2 linked regions of the Anolis sagrei genome follow. The protein of the gene in region 1 purifies or fractionates together with the protein of each later gene. This does not show direct contact. Links are inferred from orthologs where the notes say so. Each region holds a gene or a part of one and is shown on either strand. Other genes may lie near its edges.

Region 1 (6,899 bases):
CGTTCTGCCAGGTGCTTTGGACTTCCAACTCTCAGAAATCCCAGCCAGCTTACTGGCTATTAGGAATTGTGGGAGTTGAAGTCCAAAACACTGAAGGGCTGAAGTTTGCCCAGGCCTTGTGCAGATGCAGCAGCACAGCCCACCCCACCCCGGATACAGGGAATGTACTGTATTCCAATGAAATGTTGCCACAGTGGCACAATGTATTGAACCCTTGTGCCAGTGACCGAAAGGTTGGTGGTTCGAATTCAGGGAACAGGGTGAGATCCCGTCTGTCAGCTCCAGCTCTCCATGTGGGGAAATGAGAGAAGCCTCCCACAAGATGGTAAAACATCTGGACGTCTCCTGGGCAATGTCCTTAGAGACAGTCAATTCTCTCACACTAGAAGTGACTTGCAGTTTCTCAAGTTGCTGATGACATTTTAAAAATTCCCTCAGAAATACTCACATCATGAAACAATTGATATCTGGTTTGCGGCAAATGCAGTAAACTGGAGCGTTCTCTCCATTCTCTGATTTGGACTCCTCGCCCAGAACAGCTAGATCTGGGTCAGAAAATTCATCCTGAGTTGCACAGAAGAAGAGAAAAAATGAATCATGGCAAACACATTTAAGAAGAAGAAAAACTTAATTTTTCTACTCTGCCTCCATGTCTCCAAAGGGACTCGGGGCGGCTTACATGGGGCCCAAGCCCAGGCAGAATACAATTAAAATAAAGCAATAACAATTAAAACAGCATAAAACAACATAACAAAAATAGCTAGCAACAACAACAGCAGACTAATTTTGGAGTGGGGGAGGAAAACCACTACGTGAGCTAGTTAAAGGATAAAGTGGTTTAGTAAGGTAGATGACAATGTATAACGGCATAGGAAAAATCACGGAAACAGACAATAGTTAATACAATATAGGACATCAGATTGAATGACAATTCAAGTCATGATACAGGCCATTTGTCATAGAAGTCGTCAATCGAAAGCATGGCGAAACATCCACGTCTTTAATTCCTTATGGAATGTGACTAGGGAGGGTGCCAGCCTAATCTCCCTGGGGAGTTCCAGAGACGGGGGGCCACCACCGAGAATGCCCTCTCTCTCGTCCCCACCAACTGTGCCTGAGACGGGGGCGGGAACGAGAGAAGGGCATCCCCGGATGATCTTAAGGACCGCGTGGGCTCGTAAGGGAGGAGGCGGTCACACAGATAGCCAGGTACTGAACCGTTTAGAGCTTTATAGGTGATGAAGTTCAACAGTGACAAATGCAAGATACTCCACTTTGGCAGGAAAAACGAAATGCAAAGATACGGAATGGGGGATGCCTGGCTTGAGAGCAGTATGTGTGAAAAAGATCTTGGAGTCCTCGTGGACAACAAGTTAAACATGAGCCAACAATGTGAAGTGGCGGCAAAAAAAGCCAATGGGATTTTGGCCTGCATCAATAGGAGCATAGTATCTAGGTCCAGGGAAGTAATGCTACTCCTCTATTCTGCTTTGGTTAGACCACACCTGGAATATTGTGTCCAATTCTGGGCACCACAATTGAAGAGAGATATTGACAAGCTGGAATGTGTCCAGAGAAGGGCGACTAAAATGATCAAGGGTCTGGAGAACAAGCCCTATGAGGAGCGGCTTAAGGAGCTGGGCATGTTTAGCCTGAAGAAGAGAAGGCTGAGAGGAGATATGATAGCCATGTATAAATATGTGAGAGGAAGCCACAGGGAGGAGGGAGCAAGCTTGTTTTCTGCTTCCTTGGAGACTAGGACGCGGAACAATGGCTTCAAACTACAAGAGAGGAGATTCCATCTGAACATGAGGAAGAATTTCCTGACTGTGAGAGCCGTTCAGCAGTGGAACTCTCTGTCCCGGAGTGTGGTGGAGGCTCCTTCTTTGGAAGCTTTTAAACAGAGGCTGGATGGCCATCTGTCAGGGGTGATTTGAATGCAATATTCCTGCTTCTTGGCAGGGGGTTGGACTGGATGGCCCATGAGGTCTCTTCCAACTCTATGATTCTATGATAACCTGCACTGGAAACTTATCGGCAGCCAGTGGAGATATTTAAACAGGAGGGTTGACCGCTCTCTGTAACTTGCTCCAGTTAACAATCTAGCCGCCGATCTTTGCAGTGACATTTGCTTCACCTCCATACTTCCAGACAGATTTCTACAAAACAACAACAACAATAAAGCTGCAGACTTGTGCATACCTACCATGGAGCAAGCTGCACTCAAGAGACTAAGAATCACTGCACAAAGGAGCCTCCCAAAAGCCAAAGACCTGTCAACGGCTCTGCAAAACTCTTTGACAGAGAGGAGGTGCATCTACTCTGTGGAATGAATACAGTTTGACACCATTTTCAAGGTTCAGCGCTATGGAATCACAGGAGTTGTAGTTCGAGGGGTCACCAGCACTTTTAGGCAGAGAAGGCCAAGGGTCTTACGAAACGACAGATTCCATAGCACGGAGCCATGGCCGTCAAAGCGGTGTCAAACTGCATTAACTCTATAGTGTGGATGCACCCTTGGAAGAGCACTGACCACCAGCAGGGGCCTGGCTCTGTCTTCACCCAGGAGAGTCCTTGCTAGCCATTCTGGGTAAAGACAGAGCCAGGCCCCTGCTAGTGGTCAGTGCCCTTCCCAGGGTGGAGCCCATGAGCACTGGCTCCCTAGGCTGGGAAGGAAACCCAGAGCCCCCCACAGACGCTTCCCTCCTTCCCGCCCTCAGCAACGGAAGGCCGGGCTGAGGGAATGGCGGACCCCAATGCCGCCGGCTCCTCCTCCTCCTCACCATGATCTCCCGCTCTCTTCCTTTCTCTCTCGGCCAGTTCCCTTGTTCTGAAACAAGACGACAAGACGCTCGGCAATAGTAGGCCAGAGCGCCTGCCCGCGACTACTTCCGTTTCCGGTATTAGCCACAACAAGAAAAGACTATCCATGCCAAATGAGGCCCAAACTCCAATTGGACTTCAACTCCCAGAAGTCTCGGATGCTTCGGCCAACGATAAGGAATTCTGGGAGTTGAAGTTCTAGACGCCTCGGAGATACTACGCTAAAAATGGCGGCCTGGCGCCTTCTCGCCAATGGACTTTCGCTGAAGGAGGAGTCCGAGGAGGCGCGTGCGAAGGGAGCCGCCGTTCCATTGGGATTTTTTTGTTTGTTTTGACTTCCTAGAACGTCCTGCTTCGAAGCTAGCGTGACTTCTCGACGCTTCCGCTTCCGGAGCCGATAGAAGAAATATAGAAAAAAAGGCACATGAGCGTGGCTCAGTCACTGCAACGACGGGAGGAGCATTGGGATATTAGTGGTGTTAAGAATGGTTTGACTGGTAATTGTCAGCGCTTGTCTTGTTCAATGTCAAGCTGTCCTTTATGTTTGGATCGCTCGAATAATGCAGTTTAATAAATAAAAATATTAAGGGGGTGTCATTTAGCAGCCCTTTTTATGGTTGCATCTGCACTGTAGATTGAAAGCAGTTTCACACCACTTTACCTGCCATGCTTCAAATGCTGGGATTTCTGGTCTCATAAGGTCTTTTGCCTTATCTTGGCAAAGAGTGCTGGTGTCTTATCAAGCTGGAAATCCCAAGTTTAAACCATAGCAGTTAAAGCAGTGTCAAAACTGCATTCGTTTAATAGTGTAGGAGCAACCATAGACTCAAAGTTGCTGCTAACCCCCCCCCCCTTTTCTCTCTCTCTCTCTCTCTCTTTTCTTTTAAATGTGGAAAACTGCATTATTCAGCCATCCAGCAAATATTACCGCCTCAAGTATGTTTGGCAGAGACGAGAGACAGGGCCTTCTCGGTGGTGGCCCCTTGGCTGTGGAATGCCCTCCCTACAGGTATTAGATCGGCCACCTCCATTTTTACATACCGGAAAAAAGTCAAGACGTGGCTTTTTGAACAAGCATTTGCAAATGCAGAATAACTGACATGTGAAAATGGAATGATTAGACAAAGAGTCCGTACAATGTTTTTAACAAGGAGACACTATAAACTTATATTTTATTGATTTGTTTAGTTTTTGTTATATGTTATTTATGTTTTTAATTGTACTTAAGACATTGGGGAAGGCTGAGCGAAGGAAGATAGATGCTTTTGACCTGTGGTGTTGGAGGGGAGTTCTGGGAGTGCCTTGGACTGCTGGGGGATCCAACCAGTCCATCCTCCAGGAAATAAAGCCCGGCTGCTCATTGGAGGGAAGGATACTAGAGACAAAGTTGAAGTACTTCGGGAACATCATGAGGAGACAGTAAAGCTTAGAGAAGACAATGATGCTGGGGAAAGTGGAAGGTAAAAGGAAGAGGGGCCGACCAAGGGCAAGATGGATGGATGGCATCCTTGAAGTGACTGGACTGACCTTGAAGGAGCTGGGGGGGGGGGGGTGATAGCCAACAGGGAGCTCTGGCGTGGGCTGGTCCATGAGGTCACAAAGAGTCGGAGACGACTGAACGAATGAACAACAACAAGACATTGTAAGCATTGAATTTTGCCCTGTTGACTGCCTTTAGTCGCCTGCAGGCTGAGAAAGGCGGTATACAAATACAGTAAGTAAATAAATAAACATTCTAACAGCAGAAAAGAGATGAGACGAAGTCCTGTGCACCCGGAGTGTGAAGTAGCAGCTCTCCATTGCTCCTCCTTTCCATTGTTGCCTCACACTCATGGCTTCCTTATTCCAGTCTTCCTCCTCTCTTTGGGTCTGCCACTTGGGTCTGCCACTTCCACTCCCAATGGGCAAAGCCACACAAAGAAAGAGAGAGAGAGAGAGAAGCCAGATTCTGGGTCCAGGTCTTCTAGCCACTCTAAGCCAGTGAAAAATGCTTTCGCGAAGCAAGCAAAAGACCCCATCTCAGCTGCTGCTCCAATCTCCCTTATTAAAAAACTGACCATACTAGAGTGACAGCAGTAATTAAGGATTTCATCAACCTAGAGCACCTATCCATTTAAATCTTGTGTCTGCCTCCTGCAGAATTCTGGCATTTGTAGTTTAGAGAAAGGGCCTTTAAAATGCTCAGCCAGGCAGGTCCTGGACCTCATTAAACTACAAACCCCAGAATTCTGCGGGAGGCATCCACAGGATGTAAAGCAGTGGTTCTCAACCTGTGGGTCCCCAGGTGTTTTGGCCTACAACTCCCAGAAATTCCATCCATTTTATCAGCTGTTAGGATTTCTGGGATTTGAAGGCCAAAACACGTGGGGACCCACAGGGTGAGAACCACTGGTTTAAAATGGATCCATTCTCTAGCACAGTGGTTCTCAACCTGTGGATCCCCACGTGTTCTGACCTACAACTCCCAGAAATCCCAGTTTACCAGCTGTTAGGATTTCTGGGAGTTGAAGACTAAAATACCTGGGGTCCCACAGGTCGAGAACCACTGCTGTAGCGTGATAAGGTTCAAAAAGTGGCAGCCCAGAGATGAGAAACTATGCACCAGCTGATAACAGCATCAGGTACAGGTTGAGGAGGCTTTAGGCTGGCCAGGAAATCCAGAGAGAGAAACAAGAAAAGTTGGGGTGAGGACTATAAAAAAAAAAATCTAAAAATCAAAGTTCAAATAGGTTTTCCCCCTAAATTGGAACTTCAAAAGTGGGCTGTATCTCAGTCAATGAAATATGGTATTTCACCCTCAGCTTTTCATTTTTTCTGATAAATATGTTAGCAAATGTGTGATGTTTTAAAACTGGCATAAAGTGTCAAGGTTTTTTTGATTGCCAATATGTATTCTTCGCACACCTCGCAGATCTTCCAAATGAAACACAATAGCCAGGGGCTTACAGAAGTGATGTTAGTTTAGTTTTGGCTTATTTTTGTCCAATTGCAAGCTGAAGATTTGATTTTTTCCCTCCCAAGATTTCTGTAGAGTATTTTCAAAAATTGAAATGGATAAATATTTTGAGCACAGATTGATCCTGTATCTAGGGAAGAGAAGTTGCATAATATTTCTGTAGAGTCATTAAATGCCGTTCAATATGCTGCGGGTTTATTTTTAGAGAAAACATTTGCTGCAGTCTTTATTATTTTAAGCTGTTCACTATTGATAAGACCTGAAATAACATTTATCTAGATAGAACAATATGCTTGCTGGAGCGATTCTGCCAAAAAGGAAATTTTAGTTAGATCAGTTTTTAATCTCACATTGAATCTTTTGTAGTTGAGATGTTGCGGGTTATTGAAGTTTTTCATAGTTAAGGTATTTGAAGGCATATGAACATGTCTTTGGCTGGGGACCATTGTTTATTTGAATGATTTTTGCATGGTTTATTTTTAAACACATGGTCTTGCAGTTTTAGAGAACCTTACATATAAGCTCAAGAATTGATTAATAAATGTGGCATTCAAGCCATCAGTTTCAAATTTTGCAGTTGTCTGGTTTTTCGTTATAGCCAGTGCAAGAGTTGCAATGAAAATGCATATGGGAAGAGATGTTATCTGTGCTTAATGCCTACATGGTTGAGTTCAATGTTATAAGTACAGTGGGCCCCTGATGTCTGCTGGTTTGGTCCCTGTGGATATCAAAATCTGTGAATGCTGGAGTCCTGTTATTTTAAAATGGCATAGTAAAATAGGGTTGTTTAATGAGTTGAAAATATTTTTTCAAGCTGTGGATGGTTGAACCTGTGCATACAAAAGGCTGAGAGTGTTTGTCTAAACTGTGGCTGGTAACACCTGATATAATAGTGAAGTACCTAGAAATAATTAATTGATAACACTGTGTTTAATTCACCATTTGGCTCAAAAAGAGCCTCTAGGTCTAGGTCAACTTAAAATTTAGAAATAATTAAAAATATGTATAACAACAAACATTAGAAACAAAATTAAGGACCAGGGTTGAAATTGCATTTCAAGTTTGGAAAACCTCTATGGAACGAAGTTTTGACACATCACCTAAACTGTACCAGCCCCCA
Region 2 (7,147 bases), on another chromosome or scaffold:
TTTGTGTGTGTGTCATACTTCCCATTCGGAATGATTCAACATCACTACAGGCTGTCCAAAAAATCACCATACATAAGGAAAATGGGAAATTGGAGCTAAATGTACCTTTATTTACAAAATATTCATTACACATTTTTACAAAATATTCTCTACATTTTGGCCACCTCTTTCTACACTAACACACACAAAGTGTAATTTTTTCCTATGTATGGAGACTTTTGTGACACCCTATAGAGATACAAGTGCATTAGCACTACTTCATCAGTTCTGAAAAGGAGATGTACCTATAATCTCGGGGCATTAAAACAAAGCTGGACTTGCATAAAACTATTAATGTGGGATCACCAAAAATAATTTAAAAATAGATTGAAAATAGCGAATTGCATACTCTATATAACTCTCATTTTGACCTCATCAACAGGCTGTGCCACATAATAATAATAATAATAATAATAATAATAATAATAATAATAATATGGAACCAAGCATTTGGAGAGTAGTTACAGTGCAATATGCAGCTACAAAGTTAAGATGGTTGGAATGGCTTTTGGATTATGATTTCAGGACGACGTGCTATGCTTTAACTGCTTATTTAAATGTATTTATATCTTTCTGCTTTTTTTATTTTAATGTATTTATTTATTTATTTATTTCTGACATTTATATCCCATCCTATCTCGACTTCCGCAGAGGGACAACAAAAGCATAAATATACATCTTAGGTCAAAACAGTATAAAACATTATAAAAACATAAAAACAGTGAAACATTAGAACAATCGGCAGAATTAAATCGTCGTCCTACACACAGTCCAATTGAGTCCATTAAACCATAGCTCTACCATCATGTTGCTCTAGTCTGCTGATCCCACAGCCTTGATTTCACCTTTTTCCGGAAGGTCAGGAGCAGGTCTGATTTTACTCAGGAGGGAATTCCATAGCCAAGGGGCCACAACAGAGAAGGCCCTGTCTCTCCCCCTCCCCCCACAACCGCAATTGTAATGATGGGGGGGACAGAGAGCAGGCCCCCTCGAACAATCTTAAGGTCCTAGGTGCTTCGTAGCGGGAGATACGTGTGGACAGGTAAACTGGGCCAGAACCGTTAAAGGCTTTATACTTACTTTCTTAGGCGATTCCTCGTTGTCCGAGTAGGATAGTCTTCCATGATCAGTGTGCTGGTGGATCCGTAGGTGACTGTGCAGCCCTATTTTTGATCTGCATTGTCTCCCACAGTGAGGGCATTGGTTTCCAGGTGGAAGGCGGTCTTGGTTGGGGTTGGCTTGACGCGCCTTCCTCTTGGCACATTTCTCTCTTTCACCCTCCATTCGTGCCTCTTCAAATTCTACAGCACTGCTGGTCACAGCTGACCTCCAGTTGGAGCGCTCAAGGGCCAAGGATTCCCAGTTCTCAGTGTCAATGCCAGAGTTTTAAAGGTTGGCTTTGAGCCCATCTTTAAATCTCTTTTCCTGTCCGCCAACCTTCCGTTTTCCATTCTTGAGTTCGGAGTAGAGCAACTGCTTTGGGAGACGGTGGTCAGGCATCCGGACAACGTGACCAGTCCGGCAGAGTTGATGGCGGAGGACCATAGCTTCAATGCTGGTGGTCTCTGCTTCTTCCAGCACGCTGACATTTGTTCGCTTGTCTTCCCATGAAATTTGCAGGATTTTCCAGAGGCAGCGCTGATGGAATCGTTTCAGGAGTTGCATGTGGCATCTGTAGACAGTGCACGTCTCGCAGGCGTAGAGCAGAGTTGGGAGGACAGTAGCTTTATAAACAAGCACCTTGGTCTCCCTCGGATTTATTATTATTATTATTATTATTTATTATGCCCCAGTCCTCAAACACTCTCTGCTTCATTCGGAAAAAAGCTGCACTTGCAGAGCTCAGGCGTTGTTGTATTTCAGTGTCAATATTGACTTCTGTGAAGAGGTGGCTGACAAGGTAGCGGAAATAATCAACATTTTCGAATGTTATACCATTAAGCTGTGTTTCTGGCATTGGAGAGGGATTGGCTGGTGACTGCTGGAAGAGCACTTTGGTTTTCGTATGATATTGTTTCTAGCACCCACGTTTTGCTTGATATTCATACGAAAGCTGACTGGCACAACCTGGGGATCACAACCAGACACAGTGAAGACATCTGCCCTTGCACTATGCTACTCTGCTGCTGAGTACGCATGCCCAGTGTGGAACACATCTCACCATGCTAAAACAGTGGATGTGGCTCTTAATGAGACATGCTGCATTATCACGGGGTGTCTGCGCCCTACACCACTGGAGAAATTACACTGTCTAGCCGGTATTGCACCACCTGACATCCGCCGGGAAGTAGCAGCCAATAGTGAAAGGACCAAATGTAGTGACATCTCCTACTCATCCCTTGTTTGGGTATCAGCCAGCACATCAACGACTTAAATCAAGAAATAGTTTTCTTAGATCTACAGAGACACTCGCTGGAACACCTCAGCAAGCGAGAGTCCAAAAGTGGCAGACTCAAACCCAGCACCTCAATCCATGGGTGATACCAGATGAGAGACTCCCTCCTGGGCACACAGAAGTCTGGGCGACTTGGAAGGCGCTGAACAGACTGCGCTCTGGCACCACGAGATGCAGAGCCAACCTTAGGAAATGGGGCTATAAAGTGGAATCCATGACATGCGAGTGTGGAGAAGAACAAACCACTGACCACCTGCTGCAATGCAACCTGAGCCCTGCCATATGCACAATGGAGGACCTCCTTGTGGCAACACCAGAAGCACTCCAAGTGGCCAGATACTGGTCAAAGGACATTTGATCAACTACCAAGCTTGCAAATTTTGTGTTTTGATTGTTTGCTTTGCTCTGTTAGAAATGTAATACAATTGTCTGGCTGCCCCTGACACGATAAATAAATACTTTGGTTTGATCGATGTTCAATGACATGCCGAGCTTCTCCGTGAAAAATACTAAAACCTATTATGCTGAGTTTCCTAACTGGATATTTTAAGTTGATTTTAATAATGTGTGGGATAGAAAAGTTTGGCCTTCCCTCAAATATCAACCCAGAATGGGAAAATTCTATTCTGTACTTGGCCTGAATCTTTTCCATCATTTCCCGAAGCCATTTCTACCTCCAGGGACCACAATCCTCCCGCTGCGCAAGCTTCGCAATTTTTTCCTTCTGCCATCCCGTTGTTAGAGCTAGCTTTGATGTCGTACGCGCAGATTCGCGAGGCTCCCATTTTGTCACGAGAGGAAAAAAATACCCAAAGAACCCCCGCTCTTTCCGCTCAACATCCTTTAACCCCTTCTCAAGCAAGAACTTCCATTTTCAAAGCGGAGCCTTTTAAGTCGGAAAGTGCGAGTCCGGAACGGCCGACCAGTTTCCTTTTTCCCCCGTTGCGCCTTGCTCTTGTAAGATTTAGGCTGCTGTTTAGAATCGAATGATTCGTCTCTAGGAGAAAACAAAAAAAGGAGATTCTTACGTTCTATGGAATCACACGGAGACTTTTTTAAAAAAGAAAATCATATATTGACGTAGTTATAATGAGTCTTTTCCTCCTCATCTAATTCGTTCTCTACAGTGTGACGAAAGTAATTTTCATTTTCAAAGCAGAGCCTTTTAAGTCGGAAAGTGCAGATACGGAACGGCCGACCAGTTTCCTTCTTTTCCCTTTGAGCCTTGCTCTTGTCAGATTTAGGCTGCTGTTTGGAATCGAAAGATTCGTCACTAGGAGAAAAAAATAAAGGAGATTCTTGCATTCTATGGAATCACACGGAGACTTTTTTAAAATCATATATTTGTGTAGTTCTAATAACGGGTCATTTTTCCCCCTTTATCCAACTCGTTCTCTACAGTGTGACGAAAGTAACATTCATTTTCAAAGCAGAGCCTTTTAAGTCGGAAAGTGCGGCTCCGGAACATTTGAGCCTCCCTCTTGTAAGATTTAGGCTGCTGTTTGGAATCGAACAATTCGTCACTAGGACTGGAAACAAGAAAAAAAAAATCTTACATTCTGTGGTAGAACCACGGGGAGACTTTTAAAAAAATAGTATAGTTGTGTAGTTATAATAATCATTTTCATTTTTCCCTCCTTCGTCTAACTCGTTCTGTACAGCGTGGCGAAAGTGCGGTTGAGGAAACGGAAGGAGGAGAGAACAACAAACCAAACACCGTCACCATAGAGAAGAACAAGGGTGGCGACGACGAAGGAGAGGGGGAAGCAGGATCTCGCGAGACCCGGCGAGAGTCTCGAATCGGAGGTTTTGGCCCCGCCCACTGGTCCCTGTCGGCAGCGGCGGTGGCAAGAGGTAGCGGGTGCTTGTCACCCTTTTCCCTTCTTTCCCTTCTCCCCACCTTCTCTCGCTCGCTCTTCCTCAGACCTCGGCTTGTCCTCTATGGGCGGAGAGCGGGAAGAAGGCCGCGAGTGGGAGAGAAGAGACTGAGAAAGGCAGGAGGGTGCGCGAGCCAGGCCGGGCCGAGAGGGAGGGAGGGAGGGGGAGGGGGAGGGGGGCGTGCGCGCGCCTGGCTCCTGAGAGAGAGTGAAGGGAGGGGGGAGGGGGCGCGCGCTCTCTCTCTTCCGCGAGGCGCCAATGACGGGTGGGGGGGGGGGGGGCGAGGGAGCGGGAGCGCGCGCGGGGGTGCACCTGGTGGGCGGGGCCGGGCACTGGGCCTGGTTTTGTGTGTATGTGTGTGTGTGTGTTGTTTTGTTTTGGTTTTATTTTGGAGGATGGAGGGCTGGGAAGGAGAAGATAGGATCCTGTCTTAATCTGTGTGTATCTGCATATCGGTATGTCTATCTATCTATCAGGCATGGGTAAATTTGGGCCTCCCTCCAGGTGTTTTGGACTCCAACTCCCACCATTCCAAAGATCCAGAGGAATAAGATAGGATCCCCCCCCCCCCCCCGTATATATGTATGCACATCTATCTATCAGGCATGGGCAAACTTGGGAGAAGATAGGATTCTCTCTCTTCTTTCTCTCTCTGTATATATGTATGTATGCATATCTATCTATCTATCAGGCATGGGCAAACTTGGGAGAAGATAGGATTCTCGCTCTTCTTTCTCTCTCTGTATATATGTATGCATAACTATCTATTTATCAGGCATGGGCAAACTTGGGCATCCCTCCAGGTGTTTTGGACTCCAGCTCCCACTATTCCTAATATCCAGAGGAATAAGATAGGATCTCCCCCCCCCCCCCCCGTATATATGTATGCATATCTATCTATCAGGCATGGGCATACTTGGGAGAAGATAGGATTCTCTCTCTTCTTTCTCTCTCTGTATATATGTATGTATATCTATCTATCTGTCTATCAGGCATGGGCAAATTTGGGCCTCCCTCCAGGTGTTTTGGACTTCCAACTCCCACTATTCCAAAGATCCAGAGGAATAAGATAGGATCCCCCCCCCCCCTCTCTGTATATATGTATGCATATCTATCTATCAGGCATGGGCATACTTGGGAGAAGATAGGATTCTCTCTCTTCTTTCTCTCTCTGTATATATGTATGCATATCTATCTATCTATCAGGCATGGGCAAACTTGGGCCTCCCTCCAGGTGTTTTGGACTCCAACTCCCACCATTCCTAACAGCCATAGGGAGAAGATAGGATCTCCCCCCCCCCCCCCCTGTATATATGTATGCATATCTATCTATCAGGCATGGGCAAACTTGGGCCTCCCTCCAGGTGTTTTGGACTCCCAACTCCTACTATTCTTAACAGCCATAAGGAGAAGATAGGATTCTCTCTCTTCCTTCTCTCTCTGTATATATGTATGCATATCTGTCTATCTGGCATGGGTAAACATGGGCCTCCCTCCAGGTGTTTTGGACTCCAACTCTTCCAATTCTTTGGAAGCTTTTAAACAGAGGTTGGCTGGCCATCTGTAAGGGGTGATTTGAATGCAATGTTCCTGCTTCTTGGCAGAATGGGGTTGGACTGGATGGCCCATGAGGTCTCTTCCAACTCTTTGATTCTATGATTCCAGTTGGTTTGGACTCCCACTATTCCTAAGAGCCATAGGGAGAAGATAAGATTATCTCTCTTCTTTCTCTCTCTGTATATGTATGCATATCTATCTATCTGACATGGGCAAACTTGGGCCTCCCTCTAGATGTTTTGGACTCCAATTCCCACTATTCCTAATAGCCAGAAGGAGAAGATAGGATCCTCTCTCTCTCTTTCTCTGTATATATGTGTGTGTGTGCATATCTATATATCTATCTGGCATCGGCAAACATGGGCCTCCCTCCAGGAGTTTTGGACTCCAACAGCCAGAGGGAGGAAGGAGAAGATAGGATCCACCTCTCTCTCTCTGTATATATGAATTTATATCTTTCTTACTATCTGCATGGGCAAACTTGGGCCTTCCTCCAGATGACTTCAACTCTCACAATTCCTAACAGCCAGAGATAGGAGGGAGAAGATAGGATTCCCACCCCCACCCCCCTTATATATGTATGCATATCTATCTATATATCTATCTGACTTGGGCAAACTTGGGCTTCCCTCCAGGTGTTTTGGACTCCAACATCCCCCCCCCCCAAATATATATATTTGTGTGTATGCTTATCTATATATCTTGCATGGGCAAATTTGGGCTTCCCTCCAGGTGTTTTGGACTCCAACACCCCCCCCCCCATATATATGTATGCATATCTATCTATCTTGCATGGGCAAACTTGGGCCTCCCTCCAGGTGTTTTGGACTCCGACTCCCACCATTCCTAACAGCCTCAGGACCCTTCCTCCCCCCCCCCCCCCCACAACAGCCTCAGGTCCCTGAGGGGGGAAAGGAAAGGTCCTGAGGCTGTTAGGAATGGTGGAAGTTGGAGTCCAAAATACCTGAAGGAAGGGTCCAAGTTTGTCCATCTCTGATGTAGATGTGAGGCCTGTACAACTTGTGGCCCTCTTTGTGTTTGGGGCCCCCAACTCCCAGGAGGCCTAGCCAGCTTGCCCAATGGTCAAGCATTCTAGCAACCAAGGGCCCAAACCACAGGCTGTGCAGGCCTGATCTATAAGGTATTAGTAAGTGTGGGATACAAGAGGGGGGAATATTTCATTTTATATATATAGAAAGAGAGATAATGTGGTATAGCATGGAGAGGTGGTGAGGAGAAAGTCCTGATATATATGGAGTGGAGGAGAAGCAAAGTAAG

The links. Proteins that work in one complex are often made in the same cells at the same time.
Region 2: the proteins of CXXC1 (region 1) and SETD1A purify together in Homo sapiens (affinity purification with western blotting; 16 studies listed by BioGRID and IntAct, counting the BioPlex papers as one, with this or other methods). This does not show direct contact. The link is inferred for Anolis sagrei from reciprocal best matches to the Homo sapiens genes CXXC1 and SETD1A.

The regions. Positions count from the first base shown.
Region 1 is NC_090022.1:193,735,520-193,742,418, reverse strand, and holds the start of CXXC1 (CXXC-type zinc finger protein 1), read right to left. Parts: upstream 3,012-6,899; 5' UTR 2,787-3,011; coding exon 2,784-2,786; intron 565-2,783; coding exon 449-564; intron 1-448. UniProt on the Homo sapiens protein: Transcriptional activator that exhibits a unique DNA binding specificity for CpG unmethylated motifs with a preference for CpGG.
Region 2 is NC_090026.1:14,488,116-14,495,262, forward strand, and holds the start of SETD1A (histone-lysine N-methyltransferase SETD1A), read left to right. Parts: upstream 1-4,145; 5' UTR 4,146-4,288; intron 4,289-4,301; exon of another isoform or gene 4,302-4,436; intron 4,437-7,147. UniProt on the Homo sapiens protein: Histone methyltransferase that catalyzes methyl group transfer from S-adenosyl-L-methionine to the epsilon-amino group of 'Lys-4' of histone H3 (H3K4) via a non-processive mechanism.